2 linked regions of the Diceros bicornis minor genome follow. The protein of the gene in region 2 purifies or fractionates together with the protein of the main gene of each other region. This does not show direct contact. Links are inferred from orthologs where the notes say so. Each region holds a gene or a part of one and is shown on either strand. Other genes may lie near its edges. The genes, in order: AEBP2 and EZH1.

Region 1 (15,138 bases), on a different chromosome or scaffold from region 2:
AAGCTTTTTACCAATAGATCGTTAGCTTCATTTACATACTAAAAACTATTAAAAATAAAAGGTATTACGAGGCTTTTTAGGTCAATCACAGAATAGGTATATATGATAAAGAAAACTGATTAAAAGGTAAATTTTGTAATAAATATTTTGGTCTAGCATATCCTTTTGCAAGTTTCTGCAGCACTCATTTACAGATACTTGCCACATTATTTAACAGGCGGTACAGTACTTTTTGGTATTTCAGACCTTATATTGCTTCATAATAATGGTAACAGATCATTACTAGCCATTATCAGTTCAATTGTGCAGTCTGTCTCCCCTACCCATGAGGTCAAGGGGTTTATTTTATTCACTGATGTATACACAGCACCTCGAATAGTACCCAGCACACAATGGGAGCTCTATGTACATCTGTAGAATAAATACCTATCACATAGTAATTGCGGCATTTGATGGGTTTTGAAAGGCTGTCTCAATCAACAAAAATTTGAAGCAATTATTGTGTATCAGAGTATGATAAAAAGAATAATAGGAAAAACTTATGATAAAAAGAATAATAGGAAAAACTTATCTGCTCTATGAAGAAGAAAATGTGAGCACATACATTAAGGTCATAAAAGGGCACTGTGGCTTCTTCCTTGCTCTCTCTCTCAGATCACTTGCTCTGGGGGAAACTAACTGCTATGTCATGAGGAACACAAAAAGCTCTATGGAGAACTGATTTGGGGAGTAACTGAGGCCTCCTGCCAAGAGCTACATAAGTGAGCCATCTTGGAACTGGATTTCCAGCCTCAGTCAAGCTTTCAGATGACTGCAAGCTGGCCAACATTTTCACTGCAACCTCATGAAACTCGGAGCCAGAACCACCCAACTAAACCTCTGCATTCTTGACTCTCAGAAACCACATGTAATAACAAATGTTTGTTGTTTTAAGTTGCTAAATTTGTGGGAAATCTGTTACACAACAATAAATAACACAAATAGGCAAGGTGTGAAATCTCTAATGTTTACATTAGAGTCAATGAACCTACACCCTGGAATTAAAAGCCTAACAATAATATGCAAGATGGATGAAGTGGAAAGCATTTTGTCTTCCTATCTCCTAAAATCCCAGTAAAGAGTCCTGCACACAGTAAATACCTGTGTTTGCAAACTAGCTTACACACAGAATTCCCTAAAAGACCCAACAAAGTAATCTTAATGTTTCTTAAAAGTAAAATGAGCCCTTAGAATCTCTCCATAAGTGCAACCCAGAAATCTGTAGTTTATTGTTGTTTGCTTAGTTTTCAGCACAGAGCCATACCTTCCTTAACTGAGGGTTACAATGTTATTAATGAAAACTGAGACCTTTTAGAGCTCTTTTCCCTACACTTAATGAAAATAAAAGGGCAGCTAAAAGAGGGAGTCTGGAGAGACTATGGACAGCTGCTTCAGAGCCAAAAGCGGTAGTCAGTGCAAGGGAGCTCCACCACCAAATATAACCAAAATATTACTTCACATAGAGGTATTTTATTGCCTCATCCATAGAGATCCTTAATAAATCTTGACGATAACCTCAACATGCAGCCTTTTAGTATTAATCTGATTTAAAAGTTTAGCCTCTATACTAGAAAAAGATCTTCCCAATCATACTACTGGGAAATTAGGCACTATAAGTCTGTTTTCCCAGTGTCAAAGCAATCTTAATTATATCTCAAAGTTTGCAACCCGTGAGGTTGGGAGTCCAAATTTTGACCCACAAAATGGTAACGGCCTGTGGCCTTTGCTGACCATTAACTTTCATACTATATGCCCTTGCCCTATCACCACATCCTTACACATGCACTTTTCACTTGTCATCTGGACTTACCCAGAAAGGCTCATAAAAATGGCTGAAAGTGGTCTTGGCATTTTCAAAATAAGTCATGGTTTATATTCCAGTTGGCGAGATATATATTAAAGAAACAACTGCAAAATAGAGGCTATTATCAATTCACCTATATACAGATAAGAAGCTAAGAATACTTTCATGTATAATCTGATTCAACAGCTAGAACTAATTTGTAAACTAAAAAAATTTTAGAGGCATTTTAAATTCTAAAATTCTATTTAAAATTTATTTAGCCTCTAAAACTAACCTAAAAGATATATTTAAAAAATTTTCTTAATTAAAAAGTACTTAAGCTTAAGTTCAAAGTAACAGAAAAACTAGTTTTTAGTGGTCTTGCACAGCTAAATATTCCCCCCAAAGAAAATTCCATTATCTTTATAACCAAAGTAAAAGTAAATTAAATATCAACTTTAAGGTTTTCTAAATTTACCAAAATAAAAACACTAATACACTTATGCTGGTTTTGAATAAGTAACTTTCTCCTGGGGAAAATAATCAATGTTTTTTGTACCAAGCGTCATTTAATCATTTTATAAATTAGTCACCTTTCACCATACAACACTTCCAATACATGTTTGTAAAGTGACACTTTGGATCACAAGCTTTAATATCTAAGTATTTACATTTGGTTCTTTTTTAAAAAAGGACTTAGAGTTAAAAATATTTAAGAGAGTTCAACAAAATCTAAAGTATGTTAGATAAACTCAAAAGTGGAATCTAATTTCAAAATGGTAAAAAAACTGAATTCCAATAGAAAGAGTAAATTCTAATGATAATAAAATCATTGTAATAGGAATGCCTCAAGTTTCTTTAAAAGCACTTTAAAACCACCATATCCTTACATCAGTTACAAAAATAAAGACTTCCTACCATAAAATCAATCTATAAAATCCACATAGATTGGTATAATCTGCAGGACAGTTTATAAGAATTATGGATGTTTTCCAAATTTAAAATACAAAAAAAATTCAAAGGCAACAAGAGGACATTTCAGAATAAAGATTATCAAGACCACAATCAGTTTCACTGGTAATGCAACGCTTTTTCTTACAAATCATAAATCTATTACCCCGAAATGGCAAAATGATTGCAATATTTTGTTGTCTCTAATGACAGTATTAAGAAAAGCAAGTATGTTTAACCTTAATTGGACTTGTTGCACCAATATCTTACTCCCTACTCTGAAATATGATGTAAAAGTCAGACATTCAAGGGAATATCTAATGAAGCCAAAACTCCACGTCCTGAATTATTACTTGACCAATAATTCACTGTCTGCTAAAGGGATGTAGTGGACAAATATTAACTCAAAAACAGAACAAAACAAAACTCTGACACATACAACCCATTATTTAAGATGAATTATTCTAACTCTTGTGAAGTGGAAATAGCACGAGACTTGAGAACCTTTGTTCAGATCCAGCTCCACCACTTCTACTCTATACTTACTGTTTTAAGACACTCCACTGGCTTCTTCATCTGCTAAATGGAAGTCAAAATAATACCTATCTTGCACCAGAGTTGTGAGAATGAAATACTGAGACATTTAAATTGTGCAGTGCTAGGCAAGTGTGTCTGTGTGTGTGTGTGTGTGTGTGTGAGTGTACTAGATAAATGAAGAACTGAAGAAGAAATCATACAAACTAACATCAACTTGCAAATATGTGCTGGTAGCAGTGAAGGAGCATATAATGATAAATGATAAACAGCACATGCTTCACTGTGCAGTTCACACCAATTTTTAGTTTTCTTGAAGACATTCTCCTTCCTGCCTACGACTCTACAGCTCAGTACGATTTTTCTAAGGTTTGTAGAGTCTAGTTTATCCCATACAAGATGTTTGCTTAACTGGATATCAAAGTAAATATCAAACAGAACCTAACCCTCTATTTTCAAAATATTTAGGGCTTATACTCCTCATAACATTTAGTATAAACCAAAGTGCTCATTTTCATCAGTTAACAATCGGAATTCCTAGAACTTTAGAACACTTAAACTCAAGTCCAAGTCAATATCGATTGTTAAAAATTCTACTGCTCATCAAAACATTAGGAGACAGTCAAAATAAATGCTAATATACTTTAGAAGCAGTATAAAATGCATGATGTGGTTCTCTGTTTAAAAAAGTACATTAAAAACCAATTAGTTAAAATATGAAGCTTTCCAAAGAGATCAAAAGTAATGATAGTAACAACTGAACTATTACAATAAATTTTTTTAATGTCCCGAAAAAATGAAGCGCAATTTTGTCAGTCTTCACGTTATATCTAACAAGCTTTAGAAAAAAGCTAATTCCTTCAGAGACCTCCCCAATACAAGACTTTAAATATCATCATCTAAAATCATGACTCTCACGTTGAAGCATTACTCTACAAAGATTTTAAACCGCATATTAATATGCTGTACCTTCTAAACTGTATTTTGTTACGATTCCAACTCTCTGATTCCTCAAAGTTATTTTAAAGGACGCCAATTCATTCTTCTTCTCTACAACGATTTATACATGTTTTAAACTTTCTCCCAGATTTGATCACAACACAAAAAGAAGTTATTACAATCACGTTGGAGACCACACTAGTGACTACACGAGGAATTTGGGAAGCACTGATTAAACATAACAAAAACAGTCTTTTCTTTTTTAAGTAAAGAAAAGTGAATACTTGGGGTCTCCTTCCTGAACAAGGAAGTTCTGTTAAATCCAGGCGAGACCAGCCATGTTGGAAAACACTTGTCAATTACAGTTGTGACAAGTGTTCGCGAACACCGTGGGAGGAAGCTAACCCTGTGCACCGATGTGTGTACATCGAGGCCCTCTGCACCCCGCCCGAGGACCTGACCCTACTTTGGGGACTGTTTCCGAGTTAGAGCTGTCCTCAGGTCCGCAAGGAGTGCGGAGCCGAGGGAAAAGAGGGCGGGGTAAGGAGAGTTGGGGGGGGGAACAGCTTGAGAGTTGGAAGCCGCTATCCGTTGCGAGAGGGGCGCGGCGGCCGGGAGAGATTTCCGAGTTGAGAGCCTGGGGGAGGGGCTGAGGATGAGGGGAGCAAGGGGATCTCGGCGAAAAGTCCCCCTGGCCCACGCTGAGGGGCCCAGGAGTGCCAGAGGAGGGAAGGAAAGGGACACGCTTCAGCGCACTGACCTGTCCTCCGAGTCCATGCGGCTCAGGGGTTCCCCATCCGACGATATCTCCAAGCTGCCTCGCCGGCCCCCCGAGGTCGCGCTGCTTCCGCCTCCCCCGGTCCCGTAGCCCTCGTCGCCACCGCTGGAGACGACGCTGCTGCTACTGCTGCCGCCCCCGCCGCCGCCCTGGCTGCCCCGAGGTCCCTTGGGCTCCTCCAGGCCCTCCTTGCCGTCCCCATCCCCGCTGCTGCTGCTGGCGGCGCCGGGGCTCAGCGAGCGCGTCTCGTCGCTGCTGCTCCCGCCGCTGCTGCCCACCAGGCTCTCGGCGCTGCTCTCCTCCTCGCCCCCGCCGCTGCTGCTGCTCTCGTCCTCCTCCTCTTCGTCCTCCTCCTCGTCCTCGTCCTCCCCGGCCTGGCTGGCGCTCTCGGGGCTCGGCTCCGACATCGTCTCCGCCTCGCCGCCCCCCACTCCGCCGCCGCCGCCCCCACCGCCGCCGCCGTTCAACAGCAGCGCCGCCACCGCCTCGGCCTCCGCCTCCTCTTCCTCCTCCTCCTCTTCCTCCTCCTCCTCGGGGGGTTCCGCCCGGCCCCGCGCCGCCGGCCCGGGGCTGCCAGGGGGCAGAGGGCTCAGGCGGGAGAGCTCCTCCAGGTCGGCCATGTCGGTGAGAGCGGCGGCCATGGCGGCGCCTGCTCCTCCTCCTCCTCCTCCCGGCCGCCGCCGCCTCCCTCTCTCGACTCTCGCTCCTTCGCCCCCTCCCAAACGCCCAAAACTCCGCCGACGCCGCTGCAGAGCAGGAGGAGGGCCCGCGAGCTGCGTCAGCCTGCACACGCGCTACGGAGCCCGCGCGGGGACAGGCGCGCGACTGCGCGCACTCACGCGGAGACGGCTGCGCGCCTGCGCGGCGGCACGAGGTGGCGCCTCCCTCGGGCCGCGGGCTCCGCGCCCTGGCCCCCGCCCGGGTCCTCGCCCGGCCCCCGCCCAGACCGGCGAGTGCTCAGAGTTTCCTCGGGGTCTTCCCACGCCTTCCCCAGCCTAGCAGCGGGCGAGACACGCAGAACGAAAACCTGAGTGCTAGCCGGGGATTTTAACCCTCTGAGTTGTCACGATAAAGTCATTCATTCAGGGGGTGTTTGGGGAGTGTCCCCTGTGTACAGGCGCTGAGCCAGGAATCGAAGAAGTCCCTGGGCTTCTGGGAGCTTACAATCTACGCAGAGAGGAGATTAAAATGAATAAAAATAAATAATACAATGCCAGGTCCTAAATCCATAGGAGCAACACAGAGCCACAGGTTTTCATCTAACCTGCGTTTGAATACTCCAAAAAATGGTTAAATCACAGTCTCAGAGCAAACATCTCTTACGTTCAAGGTCTTCAAGCTTTTTAGCTCAGGAGCCCTCTAAAACGATATTGTACGTCCTTATCCAGTTTAAAGTGACATCTGCATTTTCTTCCAGCTTGTTATAAATAGTTTATAAGTGGTACATATTTTTAAATGTAACTGATGAACTCTAAATACCATTGAGATTTACTACCCACCAATATCCACTTTTTAAAATATAATCTTTTGTACACTTGGGCAATTTCCATCCTTCCCTCATCTTCTGGAACTCATATTTACATTCCTCATCCCCTCCAGAATTTATCCCAATAATATATTCTTTTTTTTTTTAAAGATTTTTTTTTATTTATTTATTTTTCCCCCAAAGCCCCAGTAGATAGTTGTATGTCGTAGTTGCACATCCATTCCAGTTGCTGTATGTGGAACACGGCCTCAGCATGGCCGGAGAAGCGGTGTGTCGGTGCCCGCCCGGATCCGAACCCCGGCCGCCAGCAGCGGAGCGCACGCACTTAACCGCTAAGCCACTGGGCCGGCCCCCAATAATATATTCTATATTTGAACTGCTTCCTTGATGATCTTATATTTCCTTGTAATAAAAATGTGTTTATAAATTGAAATTTAAGAAGTTTTTAAATTTCCTGTGATCATAAAACTCTGTCTTATTATTTCAACTGATCAGAACAAATATATTTCCAATATTTATAAATGAATATTAATCACAAAAGTAAAATTTTGTTGGAAGTGCATCTTTCAGAGAAAGAATTGGATGAATTTTTTTTCAACTAGTTTATTTTATCAGTGGATGTGTATTACTAGAATGAGGAGTTCAGCATCCATCCATTCTATTCCAAGTTTTCAATTTCATGGATATAAACATTGAGAAAACTTGTTCTCATAATAAGCAGATGAGAATGAATGGAGTTTTGTTATAGTAATGCCACTCAATTCTTTGAACTCCTTCCAAATTATATGCCAAAAAATCTCATAAAGATCTAACAAAGAAAAAAGTACTGACAGTCTATCAGCTGACAACTCTGATTAGGTTCTCTTTCAACTTTGTTGAAAGCAAGTTACTGACAACCACCTGACATGCAAAAGGATGTGTTACCCATTCTCATTCACCAGTCAATTGTTCCTTTTTTGGTGTAGTGGAGGTTTTTTTGAATCCCCAGGGTATTGCACCTGAGTAAGATTTGGGATGGGGAAGAATTATGCCTTTCTTTTGTAAAGTAGGGGAGGGGCGATTGGGACAAGGGAGGCTGGAAAGGAGCCCACATTACACTCTGACCCCAGGGCACATTTTCAGGCAGGTCAGTTTTGGGGATGCCTACTAAGGGAAGTGAGGATCAAAGAACTGATTGCCTTGAAACAGAGTCTCTGCTCATACACATGAGCCGTGGAAAATCTTCATATACCTTGAGTACCCCAGTATTATTTCCGCTGTCTTAGGCCTTGGGACAGCTGTTATATGTTCCTTATGTTGCCTTAAGGGAAAGCAAAAATAAAAATAATATGTAATAGTGTGGGGCATTATGGTTTATAGATACCTTCACGCACACATACAATGCAAAATACTAACCTCAAAGATTTTAACCTCAAAGCCACCCTTTGAGATAGACAAGGAGTGTATTAGCATCCTGTATAATAAATTAAGACCTATTAGAGTTTAACTGAAAAATGCATATTAAGTGTATGTGCCAGGCACTGTATTAATCCCTGAAGATTAGGATTAATGTTTGACTGAGTTTATCAAGGAAAACTTCATGAAGAATGTGGGATTTGAAAAGATGTGTATAGTACAATGTATAACTACATCTAAATTTAATTAATTTCAGCCAGATCTTGAAGAGTGTCTAAAATAGAATTCTGCGTAAGGGGGCATTCTAGGACTGAGAACCAATAACGTTCAAAAGCATAAAATTTATTCATGACAGTGTTAATTAACCATGAGAAAGCTCAAAAAGAGCTAAAGGTTAGATTGCAGAAAATCTTGAATAAAAAGTTTGACTTGGAGGGCCGGCCCTGTGGCTTAGCGGTTAAGTGCGCGCACTGCACTGCTGGCGGCCCGGGTTTGGATCCCGGGTGCGCACCGACACACCTCTTCTCTGGCCATGCTGAGGCCGCGTCCCACATACAGCAACTAGAAGGATGTGCAACTATGACATACAACTATCTACTGGGGCTTTGGGGGGAAAAAATAAATAAATAAATAAAATTATTAAAAAAAGTTTGACTTGGAAAGACAACCGGTATATACTGAGATATTTTTTAAAAGGTATGATATGATGGGGCCGGCCCTGTGGCGCAAGCGGTTAAGTGCGTGTGCTCCGCTGCGGCAGCCCAGGGTTCACTGGCCCGGATCCCGGGCGCGCACCGACACACCGATTGGCAAGCCATGCTGTGGTGGCGTCCCATATAAAATGGAGGAAGATGGGCACGGATGTTAGCTCAGGGCCAGTCTTCTTCAGCAAAAACAGGAGGATTGGCAGATGTTAGCTCAGGGCCAATCTTCCTCACAAAAAAAAAAGAGAGAAAAGAAAAAAAAAGGTATGATATGATTAAAGTTATGTTGTAAGGGTATCTAATGTATAGAAGATAGAGTGAAAAATGAATGGAGATTAGACACATGGAAATGGCAAGTATCAAAGCCAAAAATGAATGCTCTAGCTGCGGTATTTAGACTTGAAGACTAAAATGTGCTATCTTGGAATTGACTTTTTGGAGAAAATAGAGCACTTCCCATACTGGAGAGTTGTGTTTTTTTTTAGCTGCAAATTTTCTGAAAATTTGAAAGAATTGAATAATAAACACCTGTACACCTGCCTAGATTCGTCAGTTAATAACATTTTGCCACATTTGTGGATGCTGTGTTCTTCTCTCTCTCTTTCTTTTCCTCCCCCTCTCTCCTCCTCCCTCTCCCTCTCCCATTAACCCTACCTCTACCCCCTCTCCCTTTGTCTCTCTCCCTCTTGGCTTGGTTGTGGACATCGTTACTCTGCACGCATCTCCTGGGAGCAAGGCCTCTCACCCACACAACCACAGTATCACAGTGTCATTATCCCACTCACTGAAGTGTGTGACTAGAGACAGGACTTCCGGGTGACGGAGTTCCTTCAGGAGACATCAGGTGAGAAGTTGGATGAAACTGCAAGAAGCAGAGTCTGCAGACCAGTGCCCATGCACAAACTGTTTCTTCCTGGTCTGCATCTAGACAAGTACTGAAATTAGCTTCTGGAAACTTTTATAACAACTTGACAGAGTAATTTTATGCCTGCTGAATCTGATAAAAAATGGGGGCTTATATTTTTGAGGCCATCCGTTTATTTTATTATTCTGGTAATTCACTTTTGCTGTATTTTGCAAGAGTATCAGTCCACTGGAAATTTTTTAAAAATGTACATTGGTCCTTCCTAGATCGAGAGTCACCGTTCTGTAGTTCCCTCCCTCCTGGTGGGAGAGCGTGTGATTCTATGTGTAATTATAAGTTACCCAATAACACACCATTGCATAAGAGTGTTTGATTAGGAATAGTATTCAAATTCATTGACCACGGTACTAATGGGGGTCACATTAGCAATGATAACTTGAATTTCACTGGCTCTTCTACCTGCCAGGCCTACTAACAGGAAACCTCCAGCTTTCTGGGAGCCTCTGGGATAAGGGTCTCTCCTGTGCTCACACATTCCTCTCTCACTGCCCTCCTCCCCTGCTCTACTCTTCCAGGCCCTGCAGGCTCCTACCTGCAAAACAGCCAAAACCATGGTGTAGCCTGGAGAAATGGAGCTCACTCTGTTGACCTCTTTTAGGGAAACCCCGAAGCAGACTGCTTGTGCCCAATATCATATATGGTCATGAAACACCTCTTTATGTTTTTACTCAGAGCTCTGTTTCTCTTAGGGACCCAGACATGCTTTCATGGGCCTAGATTGGCGACAGCTCTGAGTAACAGCTACCCCAAGCTGTATTTATTACTCCCCATCCAATGACTAAGTCTTTCTTATAGGGCTTCTCTGTCTAATTCTCTCTTTCATTAAAATGAGCCTGTTCTAGGAAGCAGTCTCAGCCCCCGTGTCAGCAGGTTTCTTTCAGTCCTGCCTCACCAGTTTGCTCAACGTGCCCAGACATGCTTGAACCCCAGCAACAGACTCAGCTTAAATTCAAGCTGAGATTGCTGCTACACCACCCGTAAGATACTTCTGAAAATGTCCCTAAAATATGCAACTCTCTCACGTTTTGCACCTTTATTTCAGGTTCCTCATTCTGCGTGTTGATAGTGCCCTAGTGAGCAAGATCAATGGCAGTGTATGACCTCATTCTCTGATTGACTTGGAGTCTAAAAAAAGTAGGCTGGAAAGAACTAGAAATCTGATGAAAGCTTCCCCAATCTGTAGATTGTAATCCAATGAAAACCCAACAAAATAATGATGACAGTTTTTGTGTTAAATTTTCTGGCGGTATAGCCATTTTGAGACATAACTGCTTTGGCTGGCAACTTTCCACAATAAGGAGATCATTTACCCATGTCTGGTATTTTGAATAGTTTCTCATTTTCCTATGTCTATGAAAGGGTAGGTAAAATGTGAAAGGTGAATAACAAAAACACCACATTTTTTTGTCTTTTCATATATTTTATATCTAACTTGCTAACCAAATAACTTTATTCAACATTGAAAACTCTCTCAATTATTACAATTGAATTCTTTCTTTTTTTTTTTTTTGGAGGAAGATTGGTCCTGCACTAACATCTGTTGCCAATCCTCCTCTTTTCTTTTTTTTTTTTGCCCCAAAGCCCCAGCACATAGTTGTGTATGATAGTTGTAGAGTTGCAGCTCGTCCACGTGGGATGCCACCTCAGCATGGCCCCATGAGTGGTGCGTAGGTCTATGCCCAGGATCTGAACCTGCAAGCCCTCGGCTGCCGAAGCAGAACGCAGAACTCGCGAACTTAACTGCCTTGCCACCGGGCCGGCCCTAAAATTGAATTTGATGGATTAGTTATTGTAGCATACAAGTTACAATACCAGTTAGTACTTTATCCATCAAATCTCTAAGAAGGCAGGAAAGAATCTAAACATAATATTTAATGGGTGAAATATAAAAGTAGTGTATTAGCAGTTTGGATAAATTACCTTGGCTTCAAGCCAAAAAAACCCGACCCACTCCCTTCCTTTATTGAAGTATATATGGCATCTATTTGACTACTAACCTTATTCATACCCTCTTTTTTCCTCCTCTTCTCTTTGTCCCTTATTTCATTACTTGCTTTTATATCTACCTTGTAGTCCTCTATACATCTTGGTAAATTACCTCAAATTATTTTTTCAAGTGAGTTTTGTTGGGTCGTTTAGTTTTTGTTTTTGCAGAACCTGCTAAGCCTCCTCCCCCCTCACTCCCACCTTATGTATGTGCTGAGCACATGACCTCCCAGCAACCCTTAGAGCTAGCTTTGGCCATGTGGCTAAGTTCTGACCAATGAACTGTGAGCAGAAGGGATCACATCCTCCTTAGGAAGCTGCTTGCCCTCCCTTCTCTCACTCTTCCTCTGCCCTGTCTGTGGGCTGAGACACAGACATGATGGTGGGAGTGAGCCAGCCTCAACCATGCATAGCAGGACTACACCCTAGGATGACAGAGCCACAGAGAGAAGAAGCCTGGGTCTCCGGATTACCTCATTTTGCCATGCCACTCACCCCTACAGACTAACAACTCAGACCTTTTGTGCGTGAGAAAGAAATCTTTTATCTAGTTTCTCTCTTCTAAACCAGCCAAGTCAATATCGTAATTAATGCAGGTAAAATAAACAAACAAACAAACACGGTTTCCTATTTGCCAGAAATCTGAGGCCCTCAGGTCCTTCAATTTCCTGCCCCTCCATCTATAAACTATTTATATCCGCACTCATTTTTTTTCCCTAGGCAAGCTAAGCTTTCCACTATGGCAGACTCTTAGGTGTCCTAAAAAAGGGAGGGAAAGACCATATATGTACTATTTTTTTCCTTCTCTTCTTGGGCACATGGCTGCCCAGCTGGAGACCACATTTCCCAACCTCTTTTATGCTCCCTTACACTCAGTTAATAAACCTAAATATATCTAGTCAATCCAAGTGTTAGATTCTTTTCGGTAGAGAATAGTAGCTACCGAAGAAATGTAAACATAACCAGTCCTGCAAGCTTGGTGAAATTCTAGCTTTCTTTGTCCTTTTAGGTGCTCTGGTGATATGCTGAATGAAAGATGAACTCAAGACACACAAAAACATTAAAAAAAAATTTTTTTTTAATTTTTATTTATTTATTTTCCCCCCAAAGCCTCAGTAGACAGTTGTATGCCACAGCTGCACATCCTTCTAGTTGCTGTATGTGGGATGCAGCCTCAGCATGGCCGGAGAAGCGGTGCGTAGGTGCGCGCCCAGGATCCGAACCCGGGCCGCCGGCAGCGGAGCGCGCGCACTTAACGGCTAAGCCACAGGGCCGGCCCACACAAAAACATTTTAGAGACAGGATTCTGTGCCCTCTAGTCACCATGATGGAATCAGAAATCCCAATGGCTCAACATAGGACAGCTTAGGAATCAGCAGGCATCCTTAATGTATCAGATAACAAAACTTGCTATTCATGCAAACATAAGAAAAGTCTCCTAACTATTGTAGACAATCCTCATACCTTGAGTAACTTTAATTTCCCAGTTTCTAACATGCATCATACTATTTGACAAATCACTAGCTTGCTCAATACAAAACCCATTTTTACATTCAGTATGGCAATCAGCAAGGCTTTACGGAGATCTTTACAGTAGATTATTCTAGCAGAAACCCCTGGAGTATGTCCCTTTCTGATCTACAGCTAGCTGAAGACTGCTGAACTGGGCTTTTTTTTTTCTTTAGCATGTTCATTGACCCTGTATAGAATCAAAGCTTACATTGTTGGCACATACATCATATCCTATTAACTATACTGAAATACAGTATTTTAAACTGAATCACAGAAATTTTAATACTTAGTGATAGTTCCTGACTAAATTCTCACCAAGAGAATGTGAGCAGAGGTAATGTGTACAACTTCTACCTAATTTGTTCTTGACTTTCTCTGCCACGCGCTGGAACAGGCTGTGCCATTGACCCAACTTCAACATGTAGTGCTGGTGGCGCAACAATATGGAAAAAATATGAGCCCCTGAGAGACTTTGTGGTACAGAGCTGCATGCCAGTCTAAACTGGCCAGGCTGTTACATGGCAGAGAAATAAACTTCTGTCTTGTTTAAGCTACTAAGTTTTAGAGTCCTTTCTTTTTTAATGACAACTTAACCTTTACTCAAATTAACAAAACTTTACTTTACATCTTGACCCATCAGCTTCTATTTCTTTTTCTGTGTCTTCAATCCCACTGTCTATATTAGCTCCTTTTTTTTTTTTTTTTTGCTGAGGAAGATTAGCCCTGAGCTAACATCTGTGCCTCTTCCCCTACTTTATATGTGGGTCGCCACCACAGTGTGGCTGATGATTGGTATGGGTCTGCACCCAGGATCTGCCACAAATGCAGGCCGCTAAAGTGGAACGTGCCAAACTTAGCCACTGCACCACAGGGCCAGCCCCTATACTGGCTCCTTCTTTTCGATTCATGAGCATGATCAAGTCTTTCCATCCTTATATGGTAAGTATTGATTTCATTTGCTTCCACACTTCTAAAAATGTGAACCGTACTTGCTTTTTCCACTTTCTCACCTCCCATACACTGTCTCTCTACTGCAAAATCATATCCAGCCCCACTACAGTTTTTAAAACTACTCTCAGGAGGGGGCCAGCCTAGTGGGTGGTGGTTACTTCGTTCACTCTGCTTCAGCGGCCCGGGGTTCACAGGTTTGGATCCTGGGCACGGACCTACGCACTGCTCATCAAGCCATGCTGTGGTGGTGTCCCATATACAAAATAGAGGAAGATGGGCACAGGTGTTAGCTCAGGGCCAATCTTCCTCACCAAAAAAAAAAAAAACAAAAACTACTCAGTAAAATTATTCATTGCCAAATCTAGAGGATACTCTCAGTTCTGATCTTAAAAACTTGCTATCACATTGCAATGAAAATAAGTCTCAGACTAAATTCTGCATTGCGTTCTTTGTCACATTTTCTCCTCTCCTCTGAACTCCTTGCCTTTCCCCTCTTGTTTCTGTGATGCCACAGTCATCTAGATTGCCGATATCTTTCACGGTTTCTTCTTGACCTCTCTGTTTTTTAAATGTTGGCTCCAAAGTCCACATCCTTAGCCGGTTGTCTTCTTGTTCTACAAGGTCTTCCTGGTAAATAACATCCATTCTGCTGATTCTGATCTCTGACGAGAGCCTCTCAGATTCATCCTCCACACTGCCAGAGAGCACTGATGCCTCCTTGAGGCAGAGGACTCTTAATTTACACTGGCACCGATATACAAAATTTTGTGTGTTTCTGTCTCCGTTTTCCCCCTGTATTAGAAATTGACTTCGGTCTATTTGGCCCTTCAGCAACTATCAGGTTCTTTTAGTAAATATCAACAGCATCCATTGATTGGACTAGGTGAAAGCTAAGCATGCCCTCCCCCCACCCCCAACATTAATATCAGGTGGTCTATTACAAGGAAAGCAAGACTTGGACAAAATTCTTCCAAGTGTATAAACTTTTATTAGCAAGTGGGTAGAAAAAGTCATACAACCTGCTCCTGGAAGGGTAAGGAAATCCTCACTCCTGTCCTCAGGCATGCCTACAAACATCTTGCGTGAGAGGTTCACTCTGAAGTGGCTGCAGCAATATTCAAACAGAATCAGCTAAACTTCTATTCAGGTCTGTCA
Region 2 (15,148 bases):
TCTCACTCACCTCGCCACATATTTTGGACTTAAAAAAATAAAACCATAAATGGGATTTAATATTCCTGTTGTTCAGTGATTTCTTTTTTTTACTTAATAATACGTCTTGGGTATCTTCCCATGGTACTGTGTTTAGATGCGCCTCTTTCCTTTTAACTGTAGTATAATATTGTCTTTAGTCTTTTTTTCTTATATCCAGTGGAGTTTAATCTTTAAGTTCCCTACACACTCCCTTATTCCTCTTTCCCTACCCCACTCCCACCTCTAGTGCTTGGGAAGAGAGGATCTGGTGCTGGTCCAGCTAGACATTGACTTGAGATTTCTGGCCCCAACCTAGAACTGACTTCTCCTGGGTAGGGGTCTTATGGCCATGTAAATTTCCCTCCTTATTATGGGCCAAGGGCCATCCTACTTGGAGCAGGGGGAGAGGTGACTCGATCCTTACAAGGAGTGCCGTTTCTAATCCTCAGACTTTCCCCTACACACACATATAAATCCAGAGAAACCTAGGGGGAAGTAAAAAGCCCTGGGGGCCTCCTACACAATAAAATTACATGCAGAGCATCCTGGAATTAGCATCTCTACGGGTGTAGAGACATTCACTCATGCTGGCCTCTCCCCAGCTGTCTGCAAAATAAAGAGCAGAGCACAGGAGAGGCCGTGGGGGAGAGTCAGGGTCAGGGAAGCCAGAAGTCCTGGCTGGGAGGGGCTGATGCTTGCAAGCTGGACAGAGGAGACAGACTTCTTCAGAGGGAGGCAGCAGGGAGAATCAGAAGAGCTGCAACCAGGAAACCAGCTGGCTAAGGGAGGGAAGACTAAGGGGTAAGGACACAACTCCTTCATCTCTCCCTAGCCTCCTCATCTCCAGAATGATGGCACACTTGGTATGAGGAGCACGACCACCTCTCAGAGGGAAGAATGGTCATTGGAGAAAACTTTGGCTCTCAAGTTAGCAAAAGGCAGAGAAAATGGTCAAGCCAGATTCCTCTTCAATTGCTATGAACTTAGTAGTAGCTACCACTTATTGAAAAGTTGTTATGTGCTGCATAGTGTGTTCCCCGACACATATGTGGAGTGCTTTTCATGCATTTCTTAAAACCTTACCATAACATCAGAATTGTCTTGTCCATGGGTGAAATGGGGAAATAGGAGTGATTTGCCTAAGGTCCCAGAGGTAGTAATTGGGAGTGAGAATTTGAACCCAGGACTGCTTGATAGTAAGCTTCATGTCTTCTTCTTCTTCTTTTTTTTTTTTTTTGTGCAGAAGATCAGCCCCAAGCTAACATTCATCCTCCTCTTTTTGCTGAGGAAGACTGGCCCTGAGCTAACATCCATGCCCATCTTCCTCCACTTTATGTGGGACGCCGCCACAGAATGGCCTGACAAGCAGTGCATCGGTGCGTGCCCGGGATCTGAACTCAGGCCGCCAGTAGCGGAGCGTGCACACTTAACCGCTACGCCACGCGGCCAACCCCTCGGCCAACCCCTAAGCTTCATGTCTTATTTTTTTTATTTATTTATTTATTTATTTTTTTGTGTGTGTGAGGAAGATCAGCCCTGAGCTAACATCCATGCTAATCCTGCTCTTTTTGCTGAGGAAGACCGGCTCTGAGCTAACATCTATTGCCAATCCTCCTCCTTTTTTTCCCCCCCCTAAAGCCCCAGTAGATAGTTGTATGTCATAGTTGCACATCCTTCTAGTTGCTGTATGTGGAACGCGGCCTCAGCATGGCCGGAGAAGCAGTGCGTCGGTGCGCGCCCGGGATCCGAACCCGGGCCACCAGTATTGGAGCGCACACTTAACCGCTAAGCCACGGGGCCGGCCCGAAGCTTCATGTCTTAACCATTATGATTTATCACCTCCCTCTCACTTCACATCAGGATATTGATTCCTTGCTGGGTCTTGAAATTTGGAGAGAAGGATAGAGTGTTTCTTGCAGGACCAGATTGACCCCTCCAGAAATAAGAAGATCCTGCTTCACCCAACTACATGCACACAACCTCCTCCCACCTCCTTCCCTGACCCAGGCTGGACCATGACATCACGTGGTGGAGGCTGTTTTTCTGAAAAGGACCCAGGCCAGATTTATAAGAACGACGTTCAGACAGCGTGACTGAAGAGGACTGTGGCCAAGTGACCACAGCACACACCCAGCAGTACTGAGAACACTGCTGGTCCCTCAGCACCTGGGGCTGACTCATGGTTGCTGTCAGGAACCAACGCCAGATGCCAGGATTGCTTTCACCCTTTCTCTATTCCTCAGGACTGTCCTATGAAACCATCCCCAAGAACTTTCTACCTCCTCCCAACACCCCACGATGCTGGATGTTATATAACATGGGGATGCCCTGAGGATGCCAGGCAGTATCCTCAGTGCTCCATACAAATTGTTTCATTTAAAACTCACAACTCTATTAAATAAGGTACCATAGCAACTCACTTTACAGAAGAGGAATCTGAGGCTCAGAAAGGTTAAGTGACTTGTCCAAGGTCATGCAACTAATATTGGCAGATACCCAGGTGTTCTTGATGCTGAAGCCTGAACACTTAACCTCTGCTCCACAATACTGATGGAAGTCAACCTGCTAGCCAACCTGATAGACAGAACCAAATAGGAAGGGATGAGGAAGGCCGGCCAGAAGGGCAACCAGACAGGGCTCCTTGTGGCACAGTGGGCCTTACCCACTCAGTACAAACCCTCTTCTGACAACGCTTGCTTCACCTTCAGACAGCATCTTTTCACATCCTTTCTCCTAGGACCTTAGTACATTGGATGAAAAATGGAAAAACCCATGACATTATGAAATAAATAATTTTCTAGATCATAACAAGGATCCAACATATGTTAAGCAAAATGACACTAGTAGTGCATGTGTGTTTAACGTGTGTGGTGTCTGTAATGTGAGTTTAAGTAATACTACAAAAGGCAATATTTTCCTCATCTGTAAATTGGGGATAATAATGATATCTATGATTATAAGATATAAAGCTCTTAGAGCAGTAGTTGGCCCATAGTCAGTGCATATTATTATTATTATTTCTATTGCTTTAGTGGTTAAGAGCACACACCGTGAAGTCAAGCGGACTTGAGTTTGAATCCCAGCTCCATTGCTGTATGTGATGTTATGCAAATTACTTAATTCCTCTGAGCTTGTTTCCTTATCTGCAAAAATGGTGTTACTAGTGTGTATCTCACTGAGCAGTGGAGATAATGCATGTAAAGCATTTGGCCCAATGCTTGGAGCTAGTAAGCATATGATAAACAGTAGTTACTAGCATAATGTGTAACATATATAGTTATGACAACTATATTTCCAAGACATTCTGGGATCTTTCCAGTTCTATAATTTTGTTCTTTTCATTACACTAAACTTTTTTTATTTAAAAGAATACAGACTTTGGAGTCAGACAATCCTAGCCTGGATTTGAGTTCCAGCTCTCCTACTTACCAGCCATGTGGCCATGGCCAATGTTGTCAATATCCCTGAGCCTCAATGTCCTTCTCTGTAAAATGGGGATAACAATACCTACCTCCCAGGCATCTCACAAGGATTATGCAAGATGATTTAGGTTCACACCCAGTGCAATGTCTAGTGATTACGTGAATTCTAAAGGTGATATGTTAAGTATATAAATAAATGTGATTTATTTTTGTTCCTTTATGTACAATGTTATGGATATGAATCTGTAGATGTATGTATTGTACTTTTCTTGCTCCAAAAGGATCTCCATAGCCTGGTATCCCATCCTAGCCACAGTGGAGTTCAAAGGGCCATAGCATCAGCCTCATGGGACCCTGCTGATAAGCCAGGGAAGAGAGAAGGGGAAGTCACAGGACCAAGGGGAACTCCCCTTTCCTGTCTGGCTAGGATTTGTTTGTCTTCCACATAGGCTGTTCCCTGCTGATATGGGGGTCTGTTGAGTGTCTGGCTTTGATTGGCATCTCTAGTACAGAAGAAGTAAGGAGCCCCTTGCCTTTCAGCAACTATTTTCCTCTGAACTTGCAGAGTAGAGTCCCAAACATGTTTCGCCTTCTGGCGCTGCTGGTGAGAGCAGAAAGCCATGGAGAGAATCCAGGATCATGATGTCAGAGATAGAAGACCTCAAAGAAAGGAGGAAGTAGAGCGGAGTGGTTCAGAGCCTGGGTTTGGGGGTCAGAATGACTGGGCCCAAATCCTGGCCACACCCCTTACCAGCTGGGTGACCTTGGGCAAGTTCCAGAATCTCTTTAAGTCTTAGTTTCCTCAGCTATAAAGTGAGGATAATAATATTACTGACCATACAAAATGAGATGATCCAGAGTTTAAACTTATAACAGCACTGAGCACAGTGCCAGGCACATACTGAGTGGTTAGTATTTGAAGGCTATTATCATTTTTCTAGTTCTGCAGTTTTACAGTTGGGATCCTGATGGCCAGAAAGGAAGCACAGCTCATTAGCTGTCCACCAGATCAGGGCTACTTCCCAGGCAGGGCTGTGCCAAAGGCGTGTCCCGTGGGATCAAGGCCCTGCATTAACTGTGCTGAGAGAGTGAGAATGGGCAGCACCACCCTAGCTGTGGGGTTGGAGCTTTCAGAGTATGTGCAAAGCAAGGCATGAATCCCACCAGAGTAATCCCCCAAAGAGAAAGTCCCTTCCTTCTGGAAATATTTATTTTGTAATTAACAAAAGCTAAGGAGGCCGTTTCTATTATTTTGGCTTGGAGGATCAGAATTTAAATTCATAACAACTACAGACAAGGGTTTATTGTGGGCCTGTTCTTACTTGCTGAATTGAATGCATTATTATTATCCCTAAGCAAGTAGGGGTCAGGAGCTAAGTACCTGGGGCGGAAAGCTGGGTTTTTGAGATCAGAGGACAAGTTGTCCGAGAGTGGAGAGGCTTCAAAAATCGAGCCATGTTTCCAGGTTCAGTAATGTCCAGACCTCAACTTGCTTTGGAGCTGCCTTTGCCACTAAGTGTTCAGGGAGGGGTCTGGCACTTCAGCTGGCCCCACCAAAGCCTGGGCAGCAGCCCCAGTTTCTGGTGACCTTCATCCAGGCTTTTAGGTTGTGCTTTGCTTTGCTTTGTTGTTTGTTTCTCCACAGCAGGGTGGCCTTTCCCTGCTTCTGGGTGGGAACTGGGGGGAGGGAGATGGTTTGCTCCCATTTCCACAGCTGTGTTTATACTTCCCTGTCAGGGACTGTCTCGGGCCCAACCTTTCTTCAGTCCTCTGTGTCCCTCGGAGAAACTCTATTTGATATCCCTGTGGGCTTCACAAGGGAGAGGCAGAATGAGCCAAAGGATCATCATCCAAAGAAGGCTGGAAGGAATAGTACAGAAAGCTCTGTTTGAATGCTGGGAAGCATCATCTCCTTCTCTTTCTACCAGTGACCTGAAGACCAGCAGGGGACAAAAGTACACTTAGAACTTGCCCACCCCAGGGGGCCGGCCCCGTGGCATAGCAGTTAAGTGCACGAGCTCCACTACTGGCGGCCCTGGGTTCAGATCCAGGCATACACTGACGCACTGCTTGTCTGGCCATGCTGAGGTGGCGTCCCACATACAGCAACTAGCAGGATGTGCACTACGACATACAACTATCTACTGGGGCTTTGGGGAGAAAAAGGGAAAAAAAAGAGGAGGATTGGCAAGAGATGTTAGCTCAGGACCAGTCCTCCTCAGCAAAAAGAGGAGGATTGGCATGGATGTTAGCTCAGGGCTGATCTTCCTCACACACAAAAAAGAATTTGCCCACCCCAAGAGGAACCATACACATGACATGTCGTTTCTAATCACTGGGTTGAACAAAATCTTGCTTTGTGATGAGGATGTGAGTGCACAGAGCAGAACAGTCTTCCCTAAGGCTTCATTGGGGCCAGTGGTCAGAGATACAGCATGTTAAAGCCAATAAGATCATGTTTAAACACATGCAAATTAAAAAAGATTTAAGAGGGGCTGGCCCTGTGGCTTAGCGGTTAAGTGCGCGTGCTCCGCTGCTGGCGGCCTGGGTTCGGATCCCGGACATGCACCAACGCACTGCTTCTCTGGCCATGCTGAGGCTGAGTCCCACATACAGCAACTAGAAGGATGTGCAACTATGACATACAACTATCTACTGGGGTTTTGGGGGGAAAAATAAATAAAGTTAAAAAAAAAAGGATTTAAGAAAATGGTCAAGTAAATAATGCTCTTCTTCTCCAGGGAGCAAATTGAACTGGTATTAATCAGTATACTAGTGTTGCCGGACTCTCGGCCAAGCCTGGGAGAATGGCTGCCAAGGCAAATCAGGCATCAAGTTTCAAAAATTAAACACATAATTTTATTTTTCCGCAATTGAGAACTCTCAGAAAAAGAACTAGCTCTATTAGGCTACTCAGCACACTTTGTCCAGTTTCTTTCAGCCCCAGAGGCCTCCAATTTAAGAACAAGATGAGCAACTGGAAGCCAAGAGTGACACAGTTATTCCTTTCTCCTATTAACTGCCTGGGGGTGGGGCTAGGAGGAGTGGGGCAGAGTTGATGGTACTGTTTTTCAAAGGTCCAGTTGCTGACCACTTGCCAACAGTTTTTCTACGAATTTATAGGACAAAGACCTGAAGGGCTGGAAAAGAAAAAGTTGTAGAGGAAGAGCTGGCCAAACAAAGGTTAGCTGATAATGTCTCATGGACCATGGTCAGCTAAGAAAGAGCCTAGTCTCAGGAAAAACTCTCTCCCATCACAATGAGGAGAAACCAATTGGCACGCAAATTTTCCCCAAGAACCGCATGCTTATTTGTGATGTAAAAAGTTGTTTTTATAATCCTCCAGTGAACGAGGATTACTAAACCCTGGGCTTGGTCCTATGCCACGTATTGTGGTGGATATGAAGGAGGAATACGGCACGGTAGTGAGTGTAAAGTGGTACTAGAGTTGAAGCACGGGGAGATCCAGGAGAGCTGGAAGGCTTAGTGAGGAAGTGGAGCGTGAGCTTTGACATAAATCTCCTCACCTTCCTTCCTTTCCACCTCAAATATTTCTGTAACCATATTTTCTTTGTTGTCACAAAATTTCTTTGTATCTCTCCTTTTGTCACTGGGCACACTCTCCTAAGGCAATACTGTCCACTCCCATGTTGTTAGTTCCCATCAGTATGTTGATAGTTCCCAAATCTCCAGTCTCAGTCCTGACATTCAGATCTTCTGAACATCTCTCCTTAGATAGTCCACATTCTTTTTTGCCCCTGCTCCCCGCCTTTTTAACCTCTATTCTTTATTTCAACAATTATTTAGGGCCGGCCCCATGGTTTAGCGGTTAAGTGCATGCGCGCTGCTGGTGGCCCGGGTTTGGATCCTGGGCGCGCACCAACGCACCGCTTCTCTGGCCACGCTGAGGCTCTGTCCCACATACAGCAACTAGAAAGATGTGCAGCTGTCACATACAACTATCAACTGGGGCTTTGGGGGAAAAAATAAATAAATAAAATTTAAAAAAAAACAATTATTTATGTAGTGTAATAGTTCTCAAACTTGGTTATACGTGGAATCACCTGGGATGCTCTTAGAACTTTTGAAGACCAGGCCATATCCTAGACCAATTAATCAAACTCTCTGCAGGTGGAAGGCAGGCATAAGCAGTTATTAAAGCTCCCCAGGTGATTTTAATGTGAAGCAAGTTTAAGAACCACTGATCTACAAGGCAGTGGGAATGGAAAGGAACATGTTGCAAATTGTCAAGTATGAAGGAATATTTGTCTTGATTTGACAATTAAGTGGACACAGGCAAGAGAAAAACAGCAAAGTCAAAGTCTCTGATATAAGGAAAAGAACACTAAATCTGTAATTGAGAGACCTGAGTTTAACACATGACAGAGCAATTTTTCATCTGTGTAAGGCAAGTCTTTTAACTCTCTTATGCCAGAATAGCCTTGTGTATAGAACTAAAAGCCTCCCTACCTACTTCATAGAGTTGTTATGAAGATTATTTGAACAAATGAACATTATAGGCTTTTGTAATTATACTCGGGGACAAATTCAAAGTAATGTTATTTTGTATTGTAAGTTTTAATTTTTTAACTTTATATTTTGAAATTCAGGTTTACAAGCATTGCAAATGGTGGAGAGTTCCTGTATACACTTCAGCCAAATTCCTCAAATGTTGAGGAAGTACAATTGCCAAAACCAGGAATTAAGATTGATAAAATACTATTAACTAATCTACAGACCTTATTCTAGTTTCATCAATTATTCCACTGGTATCCTTTTTCTGGACCAGGGTTCAATTCAGGATCACACATTCCATTCAGTTGTCATGTCTCCTCAATCTTCTCCAATCCAGAAAATTCCTCAACCTTTGTCTTTCATGACCTTGATGTTTTTGAAGATACTGGCCAGTAATTTTGTAGATTGCCCCTTATTTTGGATTTGTCTGATGTTTCCTCTTGATTTAATTCAGCTTATGCATTTTTTCAAGAATACTACAGAAGTGATTTTGTGCCTTTGTCATTGTATCATATTGAGAGGTACCTAACAAGAGTATCTCTCATCACTAGTAATGTTAACTTTGATCACTTGGTTAAGGTGATGTCTGCCAGATTTCTGTCCCATGTAAAGTTACTACTTTCCTCTTTGTAACTTATAGGTTACTTTGTGAGGAGTTACTTTGATTCAAGGCTATTAATTTGAATCTAAGTAACTGGGAAAACTATTAACAGAAGTAGGAAAGTCAGGTTTAAATAAAGCAAGAAGGGTTACTTAGAGCCCACAGACAGGTGTTTGGGGGTACTGAAGGTATGAGGGATCAGTATGAAGGGGTTGCAGGCTGGTTTCACATGCTGAAGTGAGGCGTGGCTCGTCACCAGCATGCAGGGCTGGTGCAACCGTTGGATAAGGTCTTCAAGAAGATATTAGTTGCTCCAGGTTTCCCAAGAGCCCTCCCTTTCCCCTGACAGCGCCACCTTGGAAACCGTAGGGCTCGCGCTCCACCACCTCTGACCCCTGAGTTCGGGGTACTGGCGCCAAACGACAGACGTGCGAAGAAGGAAGCCCAGGTGGCCCGACCCGCGGGGCGCGGGCAGTGCAGAGCGCAGGCGCCGGGAGGAGGCGCGGGGCGGGGCCGCGGCGCGGGGGCGGGGCCGCGGCGCGCAGGCGTGCTGGCGGCGGGTCCCTGCGGCTCGGGATGGAGGGTGAGTGAGTAAACAAGCCCGGGCCGGGCGGTGGGGCCGGGCCTGGGCACCCCGCCACCCGCGGCCTGCGGGAGGGAGAGGCGAAGGGGTCCGAGAATTGGGAGGAAGCGAAGGGGCACACTGCCTGCCTGGTCGGGGGTAGCGGGGCGCCCCTTCCCCGTTCTAGGGCTGGGGGAAAGGGGGCGACGGGGCGAGAGAGCCCCCGACGAGGACCGCGTCTGAGGCGGGGAGGGCGGCGTGTCCGGGAGGAGGAGCGGCAGGGGCGGGCCTGGGACGGGGAATCCCGTTGGAGGGCGGGGTGGGCCGGGTGGGCGGGAGCCCCAGCGTAGAGAGGGAGCGGGTGGGCGGTGGCACCTGCGGGGGCCCTTGGCGAGGTGGACTCCCACGGCCCTGGGCCTGTGCACGGGCAGGGCCAAGAACGGTGGCTCAGCTTGTGATGACTTTGGGGGTGTTGGGGAAGGGGTGGCAGTGAAAACCGGGCCGGGACTAGGGTGAGGCGAGGCGAGTGAGGCTCCTAAGGCGCAAAATGTTCGGAGGCGCTCACTCCCGGGGTCGTGCCGGTGCCGCGTGCCTCCTTAGGTTTTGCGCGCTGGGCGCCTCGCTCGCCTCACCCCAGTCCCGGCCTTGAGTAAGAGGCTTCTCTCCAAATTTGGTCTCGCGCCAGTCCCTGCCCACCCCAGAATTCTCCTGGGGATCAAATGATAGAAGGCAAAGCGCCTTAAAGCAAAGGCAAGGTGTTGTATGTGGGACATGCCTGTTAGGAAATGTGAGACAAACTTAATTCGGTAAAAAGTGACTCCTTTGAAATTGTTTCAGGGCCGGGGAGGGGAAGGGATGTGGAAGGATTTTAGTGCCGCCAGTGGAATAGCGAGAGTGGGCTTTCGATGGGTGAAATACAGAATGGTAAATGGAGTAGCCTAGGTATCGAGCCCGGGGCCAGAGGCGCTCGTGAGGATGAGGGAAAAGAGCGGAGGTAGACGAACAGCTGGCTGTGTGCGAGGACGGCGTTGCAAGTGTGGGTCTCGTCCTCGACGTTTGCTGTCATGATGTCTTGGAAGAGAAAAATCTCCCCACCTGATGCTTTTAGGTTTAGGAAACCGGCATTGAATGACGTTTCCAGCCTGAGAAGGTGCTAACTCTATCAGAGGTTTCTGAGAGAGCTTGTCTATTTTAAGCCTTGGAATCCCCAGGGCTGGGATGGTGGGGCATTGATAAAAAGAGATTTCTTACTTACATAGAAGAGAGTGTGTCTTAGGAGAGAAGTCCTTTTTTTTTTTTTTTTACACATTTATAATAGAGGAAAAGGACCATCTATAAAAATGTAATAATAGTTATTGTCAAGGTTTGTGCTGAGTGTATCACAGACAGTGTGAATAAACTCTCCCAGAGCAGGGATGTTTGTCTGTTTTATTCCCTCATGTATCCTGAGCACCTAAAGTAGTGCCAGGCACACAGTAGGTGCTCAATACATGTTTGTGGAATAAATAGTGAGAAGATCTCTGGGACTAGGAGTCAAGAGATCTAGATACTAGTTCTGCCGCTAACTGGCAGAGTACTTGTAGGTCAATCAAGGAATTTGATGCTAAGGCACAGCTTTAAAACTCCTTGAGGTGCAAATGACCTCTTCATTATGGTGTTAATTCTCTTTGAAACAGCACTGGAATAAAGAGCCTAGGATTAAAAATGAAATGTTACTCCCGGGAATACTTTTGTGAGAAAGGAAAAGGTGAGAACATGTAGTCGGACTTGTTTTTCTTATACTTGCCTTTGAATTAGCATGCCTTTTAAAAACTATTTAAAATATTAATTCTGTTTATTTAATTCTTGAGATCTGAAATCTGGCTTCCTTAGTCCTGTGGGTAACAGTTCCTGCCCTTGATTTGTGCCTTATAAGAAACGTGTAACAATTCACTTCATTAAGTATATCTTTTTCCTCTCTTATACTAAGTTTTAAAAGTTTCAACTTTGTTGAGGCAGCAACACTAAAAACACATTACATTTCTTCATAGGATAGTTAAACTAAAGAGTAAAGAGAAAAAACAGGTGGAGAGGTGAGGAGAATTATACCAGTTAGATTAGGATTGAGGGGGAGAGTTTAAAAAGGAAAAACTGCTCTTAGGGAAAGTCCCCATTCCAGAAAGTCCCCAGCTTTTTTTTTTTTTTAAATTTGTCCAAACTGTGTTGGGCTCCTTCCCACCTCTTTAGTCGATCAGCTGGTGGTCAGTTGGGGCTTCAGTGCTCCAAACCTTAAAGTCAAGAGTTACTTAATGAGTAGTTGGAGTTAGTACATCTGATGTGTTATGTTCTCTGACTCACTTGCCTTAATACTTTGATTCAAAATGGAATAACTAAAAAGTCATGTTTTTATTGAATGATAATGAGCAGTCACTAAATGTTAAGCTTTGTGCTAGCATAGTACAGAACCAGCTAAGGTAGGGTCTAGCCTATTGCCGAAACTCTTCTAAATCAGCATTGTACATTCTAAGAGCCAGCGTTTTCCTTTGGGTCTAATTGTCTGCAGTGCAAATGACCTGATTCTCTTAATAAAGCAACACTAGAAAATATTAATGCTATAATTTTGTTTTAAATAAGAATTCAGGGTCACAGCTTCCTGTTAGTAAGGTTCTTTCCATGTGTATAGTGCCCAAAGCTCAAACTAATAACAAACGTAAATACCTTGGAGAAGTGGGAGGGTATAAAGTAAACATGTGCTTAGTAGATCCTAGTTGAAGGATCTGTCGGGCTGTGTACCTAGCCACAGAGTTGATTTTCATGAGAGCGTTGATGAAATTGGTGATCACCAGAATGACTCAATTGTGCATTACTAGAGCTCTTTGCAGAGGTAGGTTCACTCCTACAGTTCATGTTTCAACGCCACCATGAACTGAAAAGAAAAGAATGAGATGGAAAATTTAAAAATCTATAGTACCATCTGCCTCCAAAGGCTTACCTAGCCTGCTGGTTAATAAAATTATTTGTTATAAAAGAGAAAGTAGTAAAGACATTGAACTTGCCCCTCAGACAAGCCATTTCTGCAAAGGGCCGCCTTTGTGTGGATGAAAGAACTTCATAGTATGGAACTTTTATATTCTGACCTCAATCTCTCTAAGTTTAAGAATATCGTTCCAGGGCCGGCCCTGTGGCTTGGCGGTTGGGTGCGCGCGCTCCGCTGCTGGAGGCCCGGGTTCGGATCCCGGGCGCGCACCGCTTCTCGGGCCATGCTGGGGCCGCGTCCCACATGCAGCAGCTGGAAGGATGTGCAGCTATGACATACGGCTGTCTACTGGGGCTTTGGGGGGAAAATAAATAAGATCTTTAAAAAAAAAAAAGAATATTGTTCCTTAAATGTTTTATCCCCAAACATTTCAATAATGTTTTCCCATTTCCAACTAGTGACAGACTACATTCTAGTGTTAGCCTTTGAAGCAAATTGAGATCCAATTTTCTGGGGAAAGATTTCCAAGTTTTTATAGCTTTCTTTTTCTGTAGAGATCTGACACATAAATAAGGTAGTTCTTATTTCCAATTATCAATCTTTTTTAAAAATAAACTTTATTTTTTTAGAACAGTTTTAGATTAACAAACAAATTGTAAATATAGTACAGGGAGTTCCCATAAACCCACATCCAGTTTCCCCTGTTATTAACATCTTACATTAGTATACATGTAACATTTTTTTACAGTTAATGAACTAGTATTGATCATTTTATTATTATTTATTCTGAAGTCACTCGAGTTTTTTTTTTTAAGGTGGAATTGCCTAAAGATTTTTAATAGTAAAAATCTCTAGAAAATACTGGATTGATCTATTATCAAGAAAGACTTATTTTTTCTTTAATCAGCTTTATTGAGGTAAAAATTTACATACAATAAATTCACCATTTATGTCTATATTTCAGTGAGTTTTCATAAAAGTATGTGGTTGTGGGCCGGCCCTGTGGCTTAGCGGTTAAGTGCGCGCGCTCCGCTACTGGCGGCCCGGGTTCGGATCCCGGGTGTGCACCGATGCACCGCTTCTCCAGCCATGCTGAGGCCGCGTCCCACGTACAGCAACTAGAAGGATGTGCAGCTATGACGTACAACTATCTACTGGGGCTTTGGGGGAAAAATAAATAAAATTATGAAAAAACAAAAAAAGTACGTAGTTGTATAACCAACACCACACCAAGGTATAGAGCATTTTCATCATCTCAAAAAAGTTCTTTTATGCTCCTTTCCATTTAATCTCTTTCCCCAACCCCAGCCCCTGGCAACCACTGACCTGCTTTCTGTCACTATAGATTTTCCCTTTCTAGAATCATTCTAGTAGAATGTTATGTAAGTGTAATCATATAGTATGTAGTTTTTTGTGTCTGATTTCTTTCACTTAGCATAATGCTTTTGAGCTATGTTGTGCATATATAGGAACTATTCATTCCTTTTATTGCTGAGTAGTATTCCTTTTTGTGTATATACTGCACTTTGTATCCATTTGCCAATCCATAGTTATTTGTATTGTTTCTACTTTTTGGCTATTATGAATAAAGATGCTATGAATATTTATGTACAGGTCTTTCTGGGGACAAATATTTTCATTTCTCTTGGATAAATAATTAGAAATTATATGCCAGATTGTATGGTAAATATATATTTAACTTTCTTAAAAAACAAAACAAAACTGGCAAACTGTTTTCCGAAGTGGCTGTACCATTTTGCATTCCCAGCAGTAATGTATGAAGATTCCAGTTGCTCCATATCCTCACCAACAACTGGTATTATTAGTCTTTTTTTTTAGCCATTCTAGTGGGTGTATAATAGTATATAATTGTGGTTTTAATTTGCGTTTCCCTAATGGCTAATGATATTGAGCATCTTTTTGTGTGCTTATTTGCCATTTCTGTATCTTTTTTGTTGAAATATCTGTTCAAGTTTTTTGCCCACTGTTTATTGCGTTCTTTATCTTATTATTGAGTTGTAGGAGTTATTTATATAAAGATTTATTTTTAAATTTCTTGACCAAAACAGTATATGTTTTTGAGTTTATTTTCAATATATAAGTGAACATAATGAAAAGCTCTTAAGTACTAGCTTAGTATTTAACTGGAATATAAATGCTGTTTTGCATGTGTAAGTAGCTAAAGAATAGATCTAATAGAAATATAAAGTATTTTTTGTGCGCCACTCCTTTTGCCCAAGATAAATGAACCCATTTCTCCAAATCTTTTCTAGCAAAAGCTGAGTTTTCTGTTTGTTTTAAATCTTTGAAGTGATAGTTGTTGAGTAGTGTCCATATGCTATAAGAACCCATCTTACAGCTATGTTTCAGGTGTTTATTTTAATCATACCTATCTGTTCCAAACAGTGTGTCTCATCTTTCTAATACAGTCTGTGGGAGCTGACCAACTGCCGAATAAATTATTAGAGACGTAGAAGACCCATTAAAAAGCCAAGTGAAATAAATATTGGCTCCTGGTCACATGAGACTTAAATATCACTTTAATTGTAAAAGGAGGAAATGTGGCTTGTTTTACAGTATGATTGAGTAAAACTCGATGGCATTTTTATGTATATGTGCATACTGTGGCCAAAAACAGCACTTGAGTAAAATTAGAAATAGTGCCATTAATTATTGGACTGTTGTGGTATGTTTACTGTCATCTCTTTTGACAGACTATAGGAGATCACATTTCAGTTACAACTCCTTTCTTTAAGAAAAATATCGATATTTTCCTGTGGCCATCTCCTCTAAGAAGTGTACACACACCTCCCCTGGCAGCTCTGGATTATGTTCTTTTCCGTTACCTGATCTCCAGTTTTAAATGGATGGAGCAACCTGCCCTAATCTTACTATTTCAAAAAGGGAAATGAGTTCTGAAAGAAATGGGAGAGGGATTTCAGTTCAAAACCATTTTTTTTAGGAGATTATGATGTCTCACTGAATTGTAATCTATGACATTTGGGTCATTTGGGTCTCAATGAGGGTAAACTGAGGTTTCTGAGGGAGGCAGTTTTGTCCTAGATTTGAAC

What was found.
Region 1: the proteins of EZH1 (region 2) and AEBP2 purify together in Homo sapiens (affinity purification with mass spectrometry; 3 studies listed by BioGRID and IntAct, with this or other methods). This does not show direct contact. The link is inferred for Diceros bicornis minor from reciprocal best matches to the Homo sapiens genes EZH1 and AEBP2.

What each region holds. Positions count from the first base shown.
Region 1 is NC_080756.1:42,357,617-42,372,754, forward strand, and holds the start of AEBP2 (zinc finger protein AEBP2), read right to left. Parts: upstream 5,828-15,138; 5' UTR 5,666-5,827; coding exon 5,007-5,665; intron 1-5,006. UniProt on the Homo sapiens protein: Acts as an accessory subunit for the core Polycomb repressive complex 2 (PRC2), which mediates histone H3K27 (H3K27me3) trimethylation on chromatin leading to transcriptional repression of the affected target gene.
Region 2 is NC_080757.1:41,771,114-41,786,261, reverse strand, and holds the start of EZH1 (histone-lysine N-methyltransferase EZH1), read left to right. Parts: upstream 1-9,094; 5' UTR 9,095-9,142; intron 9,143-9,755; exon of another isoform or gene 9,756-10,271; intron 10,272-10,403; exon of another isoform or gene 10,404-10,868; intron 10,869-15,148.